Drosophila melanogaster: one gene and its partner. The protein of the gene in region 2 interacts with the protein of the main gene of each other region in a pairwise test. Each region holds a gene or a part of one and is shown on either strand. Other genes may lie near its edges. The genes, in order: CG14767 and CG13053.

The links.
Region 1: the proteins of CG13053 (region 2) and CG14767 interact in a two-hybrid assay, tested with the Drosophila melanogaster proteins (one large-scale study listed by BioGRID).

Annotation. Positions count from the first base shown.
Region 1 is NT_033778.4:8,717,618-8,725,460, forward strand, and holds CG14767 (uncharacterized protein), read right to left. Parts: upstream 6,223-7,843; 5' UTR 6,089-6,222; intron 5,881-6,088; exon of another isoform or gene 5,836-5,880; 5' UTR 5,814-5,835; coding exon 5,640-5,813; intron 4,008-5,639; exon of another isoform or gene 3,892-4,007; coding exon of another isoform or gene 2,536-3,891; exon of another isoform or gene 2,483-2,535; intron 2,416-2,482; coding exon 2,226-2,415; intron 2,168-2,225; coding exon 2,029-2,167; intron 1,873-2,028; coding exon 1,077-1,872; 3' UTR 400-1,076; downstream 1-399. Other genes in the region: CG30357 (uncharacterized protein), read right to left, coding at 2,536-3,891.
Region 2 is NT_037436.4:16,258,502-16,261,638, reverse strand, and holds CG13053 (uncharacterized protein), read left to right. Parts: upstream 1-1,916; 5' UTR 1,917-2,212; coding exon 2,213-2,230; intron 2,231-2,296; coding exon 2,297-2,554; 3' UTR 2,555-2,602; downstream 2,603-3,137. Other genes in the region: CG34247 (uncharacterized protein), read left to right, coding at 63-71, 140-382.

The DNA of each region.
Region 1 (7,843 bases), on a different chromosome or scaffold from region 2:
TCCGGGGAATTATTTCTTGGGAACACCAACAAATCTTATTATTAGTCATCACTTTGTATATGCATACATATATGTAATGATCGGGAATTTTTATGTAGCTTCTTTCCTCAATAAACAATAAAAAGAAAATGTAAAAATGGAATCTCTATGGAAGTCAGTTGATCAAAGAATATTCTCTTTTTTAAACTTAATAGTAGAGAACAAAGTTATTTTGTTTCTTTCCCCAATTAAAATAAATATCATCAACTCTGTTAAAGGATTAACACTATAAACTAAAAAGTCAACATTCCAACTCTATTGAAAATGAAACCAATTTCCAAATAGAATTAGGGTATCAGCTGAAATTGGAAATTATATTATAATGTTCTTTAAATTAAAATGAAGTCGCAAACACAAATTAAATATAAACTAATTTTTATTCGAATATCTTTGCATATTTAGTACACAGTATACATTTAGATATTGTACACACATAAAACTTTACTGTTGCTGGTAATATCATCATAATTAATGGATTATGACTGCCTGTGCTCTGAATTCAGTACACGGTATTCAATATGCATAGTCTTACGAGATAACTTAAAACAAAGAACATCGTAAAGGTGTCTACAATGCCAGCGACACTCTCTGGTAACAACTACTTGGGCCTACAATATCCGAACTTCTCAGGCTAGTTCGGGCCAAATGAAAAACGTTCTAACAGATTGTTGCAGCTAAAATCGGGTCAGATGCGGCCGAAAAGGAATTGATGCTTTCCTCGCCAGCATCACAATATGTTTTTGGCTTTAATGCTTTTGTTTACTAAATTAGCAGCAACTAGAGCGTCTTAGTTGTACGTTAAACAACAATAATGAGCGATGGCTAATAGCGAAAACTTGTTTGCGTTTCGTTTTTCTAAAAACAGTGTTCAATACATTGAAGCAACCATTAAGAAGGTGTATGTGTGCCTGGGAATGATAGCTGCGAAATGAGGGACCAGAAACCAGATCATCTGGGCAAGAAGAGGATGGGAGAGGGGTGGTCACCGCTGATCACAACCCACTCGCCATGAGAAGCAATCCAGTCGAAAGTACTGTTTAAGCCTGGCTTTCGTCGCGTCCGCCGAATACTTGTCCCGGGATGTTTGGCTGGCGATGCAGCGGCGATTGCGATGGCACTTGCACCTGGGCATCGGCAACGTCGTTGTAGGGCGGAGGAGGCGGAATGCCACCGATTACATCAACGCCAGCGTCAATAACCTCCAAATCGTCCGCTTCCTCGTCGACATTAGCGTTTACAGCTGCATCGCTGCGGCGCATTGGTGGCGTATTGGCATTGACATGCATAGTGTTGTTATTGTTCGGCTGATCATTGTTATTATCCATGTTGTCATCCGTGTTGGAGGCTACGTTCGCGGTAGTGGCTGCTCCAAGGGCCACGAAGAGAGGGGCCACCGAAGGATTAACCTCCGCACCTCCAACAGCTGCGTCTTCACCCTCTTCGTAGTTTGACATGGCCACCTGATAAGATGGCGGTGGTGCCTGCTTCAAGTACTGGGCAATCGCTTCATCGTAATTGGGCAACAGAGTGGAGTAAGACCGCTCTTCGGCACCAAAGGTTCCGCCAACACTGTGGACTCCAGTCGGTGGCTCCAGGAAGGGGAACAGGGTGCGAACGTGTTGCTGACGGAGCGTCAAGTACTTGTAGCAGCGCCAAACGATACCAATGCAATAGGCCTTTAGAAACACAATGCAGATGAATACGACCAGGACAACAACAACTAGCTCCTCAGGTGGTAGTTCTAGCAGCTTCTCGCGCCACGGCAAGCGATGCGACTCGGCAATGATGCTGTGAATGGCCTGCAGGTAGCACAGATATCCAGCGGCGGTGAGACTATGATAACGAACAATGCATAAGTACATTAATCTCCCTATTAAAAGAGTCCTAGAAACCTCGAAGGATTTAAGAAGGCTATTTAAGCTTTACTAAAGTAAAGTGGCGATTTAAATCTTTTGAGGTCTCTGTAACTCCACCGATTATAATCCTTACGTTGTAATAGCGAAATCAAACAATTGCAAACAGAAGAACGGCAACAGGTGGGAGGGTTTTCCCTTGATGGTTCCGTAGATCATCATCAGTGTAATGGCTATCATGCAGGTGCACACCAGTCCGCCCATATCGAAGTTCTCTGCAGCAGAAAATTGATATTTAAATGCGTTGCGGAACTTGCTCTCTCCACTGCTTACGGTAACGCTTACGATAGTTGAGGGAGTGGTCACGGTAGGCGTAGGGCGGTTCGACCTTGCTAAGGGGCGTGGGTAGGGCCGGTGCACTCAGATCCACGGTGTAGTCGTGGGTGCCACCTTCCAGTTCGTCCATCATCTCCGGATTGCGCCATATGACCGCTAGAACGCTTAGCGCCAATATGTTCAAGAACTGAAAATAAACGTAGGCGGTTTTACTTACTAAAATAATTAAACTGTTTAATTGCACATGGAGGCTTACATATATAAGTAGAAATATATATTTTACAAGTTCTACAACCAACGTGGAGACTCAACTGTTGGGCTTAGTTAAATCAGACTTCTTTGCCTGGCAACTGAAGCAAACATTGCTAGCATCTACTGGTTCCAGAGATTTCCAATAATCCCGGTGCTGGCGTTGCGTGTAATTAAGATATTCAAGGAACGCGTCGTAGGTTAAGTCCACCGTGTTCCTGCATTGCATTCGATGATGATACGGACATTTCCGGTCGTATATCCAAGTGCGTTGCACGGGTGGCTTTACGCAAGCCTTATGCAAATAGTGCTTAAAAGCCTCCCGATCTTTTCCATAAAACATCCGCGTGGTCGTGTACGCGATGCCTTCATGAATGGCTTGGCGCACAATTGGCTGCGCTACGATTCTCCCCACCCCCACAGATGTGACATCCGGTTTCTGTAAACGGATGAGCAACCACGGCGGGATTAGTCCAAAACGTATGCTGGATACAACATCCGTTACGTTTTCCTCTCTTTGAGGCCAGTGGTGGCTTAGCCACCGAGCGGCTGCCATGAAGACCTCCAGCTCCGTATTCACGCCTATCAGATCCGATTGGATGAGCAATAGCATTGATTTCAGCGGCAGTCTCAAAAACTCTTTCGATGCCACCAGCGTGAGAAAAAACTTTGAGACGCGCTCAAGATATTGCAAATGGATAACCTCAAGTTTCAGTATTTTCGCCTCAAAGTACAGCATCGCAGCGGAGTCCTCAGTGAATCCATGATCGAGGCAATACTTGCACTGCCTGACCAACTGTGGAATCTCCATAAATTTGGCAGCGTGGAAAACCTCTAGGAGACCGAGTCGCGGCAAGACTGGCGTGTCCTCGATCATCCATTCGTAGATTAGGCCAAAGGAGCGTGGCGTAATCATCTTTTCGGGCAGGGCCACGCTCAGGTCATTGCCCATATCGCGAAACATTCGCGAAAAGCTCTGTAAGACCATCAGGTGCACGGGATGACTTGTCTTTCCTATGGTGATCTCTGAATTGGTCTTTGTACGTTGCTTTACAAGGCTCACAATCTGTTGGTACAAATTGACCTTCCCTTTTAGAACCTTACTGATTTTTGATTTCTTTAAAAGCCCGGCTGTCGAGTATCCCAATGAGAATAGTGTACGCTCTTTAAGGGTGTTGAAAGCGTCAGTCTGGATTTTTAGTTCAGAAAGGGACGAGCAATTGATGGCAGTTGTATTGATGAACAAATCCCTTAGCTCATCATTCATCTCCTGTATCTCTTCTAGCTCCTCCACCGCTTCGACATCCTTATTCGCCTTAGAAGCATAGCCGCGCAGGATGACTTTATTTGAGGAAACAATGTCAATAGGACAACAAGAACTGCCTTCCGGAAATGTGTCGTCTGTGTGGGGCATTGCATTCGAATCTCGCAAATGCCTTCACCAGTTGGACAGCTTCCTCCGGATGGAATTTCATTGGAAGTAGTGGGGAATGTAGACTTTTGTGTGAGCAGAACAATATTTATAAAAATGTGAATAAGTTGTAAACGTCACAAACTAAGCAAAGATTCCCAAGGATCACGAGGGGGGACTTTAATGATAGCTCAACATTTAAAAGTATTTCGAGTGCGTTAGCAGGTGCATGGGTCCGCTCATGAAGATAAGCTGGCAAAAAAGAAGATAAGAAAGCTTCGCCTGATTTGATTTGCAGCCTGTGTGCTGATAGATGACAGCTGAATTAACAATTCTCAGATTTATGACAGCACGCTTCAGAATGTTGTTCCAGAAGAATATATCTTTCTTACCGAAAAGCAAGAGTAAGCCACCACAAGAGTAAATATTTTCGCATCACTTGTCGAGTACGTGTAGTTATTAAAAATAACTTGAACGCTCATGTTTCTGGTTGCTGTTTGCTCAGATGGCTGCCGTTGGATATCCGATTCAGTATCTAAGTATCTCAGGTTGAAGGCCTTGCAACGACCCGAGATGCGGCAACTTGCCATCTTTAGTTAAATTATTCATCAGAAATTCATCATGAAATTTAATCTGCAGTGCGCCGCAGTATATCAACAATTGTCACTCTGGGGATGAGTCAACCAAACAACAAGCAACCTTCGATTTGCGGAATTGCTTTGTTTTTAAAGCCTCTAACGCCATACATATCTACAAAATGTAAACAAAGAAACCCTTGAGATTGGACAGATTAGAAAAGATAACTCCACTGCTGTCCACACCATAATCAACCCATGTGACGGAGTTTTCTACTGGAAAACGTGACCTGATCAAAGCATAAAGAAAGTAGCGGAACAGTGTAAAATATACACGAATAGCGTAGTGAGACAAATACTATTAAGCAAGGGTTTTTGCTCAACGACTCAAATCTTTTATTGGCCGCAGATTCGCGCTCTCTTAAGGGCAGAGCATTCTCTTTCATTTTCAGAAGAGACATCAAAGGTTTCTGGGTTTCCAAAAACATTGATAACAAGACTGAAAATACTGCACTTTGCACATTTATATCCCTTTTTTTAGCCAATAAAACTAATTTCTTATGAAACTTTTGAAAATTCGACAATGCTTTACATTTCTCCAAGTGTAGCGATTGCTAATGCGAAGTCAGATCTTGTGAAAGGTTAGTTTCGGACAATGGACATGGGATGTGGAAACTTCCGCAGTGGAACCGATGGCAGAAATAAGTTGTTGTGCCAAAAAGCCCCGATGATAGTACAGTATAATTCGCTTAGCTGCATCGATAGTTAGCTGCATCGGCAAGATATCTGCATTATTTTTCCATTTTTTTGTGTGAATAGAAAATAGAAAATAGAAAAAAAAAAATTAAGTTAGCTGCATTTTTAAGTTACCTGCATCGAGGCATTGTGCAAAGTACTCGAGGCAGCTAAGCGAATTATACTGTAGTTAAATTTGATCAGATGACGCAGCAGCGGCCAATCAGCCACCAATTGACGTCACAGGCGGGGAAAGTGCAGAGTTGGCTCGTCTTCGTCTTCGCAAAGTTTTGCAGTCATTGGCTGATTGATTTTTCCCTTGCGTGACACTGAGCAGGGTCAAAGGTTTTTCGCAAATGCCGCAGGACTGCATGCGTGGGTGTATCTCGATATACACACACGCATGTATGGATTAAAGGATACCCCCCTTGATGCACTTACCAGGTGCCACAATCCGATCATCAAAGTGGCCGTGTGGACATGCAGGCCGAAGCAGCAGGTGAACTCCTTCAGGTGACGGTTTCCGGTGCTGCTGCTACTTCCGGCGGCACCATTGTTGTTGTTGCTGTGGAGCTGGTTGCGTTGGGGACCCATCTTGAGGTGGATCCTAAACATTGCACGCCCCACGAAACTGCGGCTGTGGAAAATGAATGCGAAAACGAAAGCGATAACGATAACGAGTGCAGAAAATAATCAGCAATTGTGGGTGTTTTATTCCTCCCACGGATGTGTGTTTGTGTGTGTATGTGTGTTTAGGTGTAGGTGTGTGTTGCATCTACGAGTATGTATGTATGCATTTGTATTTATGTGTGCCACTTTTTCACGACTGATGCTTTGACCTTTTGCACTACTAATTCGGCAATTGATTCACTCTCCTTTATAAGGCGTACCTTTGATTTGTGGGCCAATGCAACTTGCACTGGTTTTCAACTCCGATTTATATCTGCAGCTCTTGATGTATTCAATTTTATTTAACTGCTGCGCAGCACGAAAACCCGTGAGCACTAATCTCTGAAAGTGGTAAAATGCCGCGCAACACGGTCACACTGACATTATGCGTTTTGCAGAACGGTAACGTTTATACGAGTCATTATTCGCAAATATCATGATATTATACAATAATTTTTGAATTAGATGTCATATAAATAAACAACAAAACGAAGAGATGTAAGCTCATTTATTTCTAAATATTCATAGTTTATGTATTTTGTGTCCCCAAATGTAAATTGATATGTTTTTATTACTATTATTGAAGTTAATATTATTTTTAAAATTTACTTCGAAAGGAGCAACTCAAGATAGGTTTGTGCTTCCGCATCGTAAAGTAAATATTAATTTTAAAAAGTACGGTAAGTGTGACCGGTGCGAACGCTAAAGCGCCAATCCGCAAACATCGATAGCAGCGATGCAATCAAAATACATGCTTTGCTATCGTAGGGTGACCATAACTAAAAGATTTGGAGAGCCAACTGCAGCAAAACAGAGATAAAATTGACAGCGAACGGAATTGAAATGGCTTAAACCGCATGCCTAATCAGACTCGCGTAGAATTTTAGCCCGTGTTTATTTTATTTATTGAAACGAAGCCAGTGAACGTGGGGTGCAATTGCTGTTATATAAAAGTACGGCACTGTAACTGCAGTTTTACAGTAAGTTTCGTTTATCAGTTCCCCTTTGTGTACCTTGTTTCCTTCAGTTTTGCGTCGTTCGTTAGCGCGCTCTCTGTCGCTCTCTCTCTATCTCTTTAGTACGTATCCATCCCACCCCTTCTCTGTTATTCCCAACTACGTCACCCACCGAATTCACTTTTGTTTGCTATTTATAGCTGCGGATTAACTGCACTTCGCAGCCAGGAACATGGGGATATAAAGTGAGAAAAAGTTGATGGTCTGGTGGTCCGTTTTCCATATCGCTAATCGCGTGTTATCAGGGCCAAACAACAGGCCATCGTAAATAAGCGTTTTAAGCTGTCAATCAGCTGATTTTGCATCCATAAATAAAAGAGTGCTGCTTGTAGCCTTATCTGTAGGTTAACCACATATATTAACCTGCTTCAAACACCTTTCTCCGATTTCGGACGTCCCAAATTTTCCAGCCGCGGTGGCTCAGTCGTCTAAGGCAACTGGAATTCCCTACGAAATCAGTGCGCGAGTTCGAGTTCGAGTCTCCGCCCATGCTTGTTGGCTTCTTCCGACGATCACCCACGTTATTTAGCCGTTAACTCCTTGGGCTACATTAATTTTTTTTGTCATTTCCCTAACTTACATGTGTAAAAAAAAGAGTATCTTACATGTGTTTAGTTTATCTCAAAAGTGGAACAATCCTCCTTTAAAAATGTTTGGAGTGGGTCTTCAAAGAGAAGATCATATGCTTACGTTTTTATAAACTTAAACTTCCGGATGATACATTTCGAAAGCAAACCTTATCCCCCAAGGTGCAGTAGATAAAATCTGTCAAGCGTGAAAACTTGTTATTAAGTTTATTTTAAACATGTTTTAAAATCGTTTGGAAATGCACTTTATCTTACCACCATCGAAACAAAAGCTTCAGGCACTGCAAATGTTTCAAAAAAATTAAAAATAGTTGACTATAATAACATGTATGTTTACCCTAAACCTTCCTTTAATTTCTAAACTACGACTTTT
Region 2 (3,137 bases):
GAGTAGCGTGGAATGGCTATTCAGTTGGATAGGTGATCTTCAAGGAACTGCAACGAGCGAAAATGAAGCTGGTGAGATCGGAAAACTCTTCTATATAACTTTGCATATATATATTTAACCAATTTAATTGATCTAACAGCTGATCTTTGCCTGTTTGCTTGCTCTGGCTTTGGGGCACGAGGTGTATTACTATACCCCCAGCTATGGGTACTACCCCAGTACCTTTGCCAGGTCCTCGGCTGTCCTGCCCTTGGCCTATTCCCGTTTGATTGCCCCGGCAGCCGCCGAATCGCATCTTTACCACAGCGTGGAGACCCCGAACTCCTTCCAGCAGCAATATCGCAGCGACTACAAGCCCCTGACCTATGAGTACATCTACTAGATGGGCGGGGAGCAACAAACCTTTGCGTGAATTGTAAGCAAGTGAAATTTGAATAAAGTTCGAACGCTCCTCATCGAAGGTGTTTTAACTCTAGATGATAAGCCCCCATTGTGTTGAGGTGTCTGTGAAAACAACTTTCCTACTTCCCCCAAAACCAAATGACCTAGCACACCCGCTGTCTGTTGAACTCGGCCTCCAATTGTTGTTCAGTTATAAAGCCCCAAACAACAATGGCTATATCGAATGACCCCGCCCAAATGCCCGTCCTTACACACAGTTGTTCACCTATGCTTCTCGGAGGCCTGTCTAAATTTAATAAAATCCCAAAAGTGGCAACAAATCAAGACTCATGTCGCACGTCGAACGTCACCGTGGCAAAAAGAAGCCGTAGAGTCCACCGCAAGGTGCAATGTGACTCACACAGGCTGTTCCCCCGATTTTTGCCCTTTGGCGAGTGGCTCGTCGATCCCGAAAGGAATCGCTCCGGAACGTGACCCGAGGCCGTCACATGGCATCCACCCATGGAACATACGCAAATGCGTAGATTGCTCTATGGCCATTGATACTTAGCATTGTTAATAATGAACTCTTAATCGGGTTTATTAACACCTCGATGTCCTTGGAAAATAGCATAATCTCCTTGGTTACCCTATATAAATAAATAACAATTAGTTTAATTTGCATAACACCATTAGAGAAGTGATAAAATGGATCATTGATATGAATGATTGCATCAGCCGACTAAGACTTTTAAGACTTCTCATCAAATATCACTCGACTAGATTCTTAATAATTTCTAAATTGTTTAATATTAATTTATCCTTTACCTTAATAATAATAATAATAATACAGAGCTTAGTTACCTTAAATAATTTTAAAAACTCCATTAATATTTTAATAAAGTAATAATATAAAAATAAATATAAATAAAAAACAGAATATTGATAAAAAGCTTAATAAAGATATACAAATATTTAGTTATTTATTGGGTTTTTGTTAAGAAAAACTCTTACGTTAAATTCCTCGAATACATTTATCGCGAATAAATCAACGTCCGTTAAAAATTATAGGGTACATAGCCGGCCATCAAGAGCCATGATTGATGATTACGAAACCAGATTGAGTTCGCGTTAATTATGCAAAGCTAATTAGAAGTTACTCCTCCGACCAGCAGATACATCTGATTGGATGGAATGGCTCGGGACGGTGGCATCCGTATCAGTTTACTAGAGCCCATAATCTCGGTGGAAAACCTGTTGCTGCCAAAGGAGCAGGAGCTCCGCCATCAGCACCATCTGCATTGGCATCTGATTCGGTCCATGGGGAAGTTCAAGGTTGTTACAGTGTCCAATTAATGGCTAAAGAAATCGCAGGCTTGACTAGGCAGGCAAATCTATGCGAACAACAATCTCACATTGCTGGGCAAAATGAGTACACTTAAACACGATTGAACAATATATAGTTCTGGTAAATATATTAAGCAGTGAGATATATGTCTAGTCAAAATATTTTAAAATTGAATTACATATTTTTTCATGGTTTTGTTAGTTTCATTATAATAAGGAGTTTAAAATAGTTTATCAACGTTTAATTTACTTGTCACAAGTTTCCTTAAGCTTGACTCGTTTTTCGGCGTGCAGCTGGCAAAAGGGTGACCAGAATTTAGAACGGGCTGTGGGAAGTGGACCCCCGTCAAGTTGTTTACCCAATGTAAAAACAGGCTTTGGATCCCGGGAGCCAAACCTTGGATATAAAAGGTCTTTGGGAGTGCAAGGAGGAGCTCAAAGCGAGAACGGCACTGGACGGCGTAGTTTGCAGTTTGAACAGAAAATGCGCAATTATCTCTGGGTAGGCAGCCAATTCCATTGGCCAAGTATCAGCTCCACTTAACTTCTCCACCTTCTACCGTTGCAGTTAGCAGTGCTCCTGGTGGTGGCCACCACCTGCATCAAGGCCAAGCCGCTGGTCTCCTTCGGTGTCAGCTACCAGCAGCCTTACCTGGGCCCCCAGCCAGAATCCTACTACTACGGAGGACGGTACCCGGCTGGTGGCTACTACAACAACTACCACAACAGCCCGGGTCCGTACGGCTACCCCTATCCGTATGCCAATCGCTATGGTGCCCTCGATCTCGGAATCGGCGCCCTGTCGCTATCGTCGTTCCTGCTCTGATTCCGTATAAAAGCCAAAAGCCACAGCAAATAGATGCGCAAATCACACAAAAGTCTTTTCACTATTTTCCTCGGCACGCACTGCTAAGCCTTATTTTTTTGCCCAGGTCAGGTTGATTTATATATATGTATATATTGAGCATAAGGATATATATAGTGGGCGGTGGACTTTGAGTACGTGCCATATCCCCGGGGGCTCTGGTGACCCACTGACTGAATTTATGGATTTTCGATTTCCTGTCACAAAACCCTTTGATTCGTTCTGACAGAAGTAAATTTTTAGGTGGGTGTCTTAATTTATGGTATCAAATGTCATGCAGTGAGGAAAGAACTCAAGTTAAATGCTAAATCTACCAACTGAACAAGCTTAGTTTTAAAATGTCCATTTAATACCTTTTAAACTTTATAAATTTAATTAAGTACTAAGAAATGACAATGAGTAGTTTATTGACAGCTTTTGTGCTAATGTCAACATTATTAGGACGACATTTCCTCACTTTGAATGCAGAGTATTTTAAGATTCGACATTTTCGATACGCTGATTATGCTAATGTCCTCGGCGGTGTATCAATTATTTATAGATG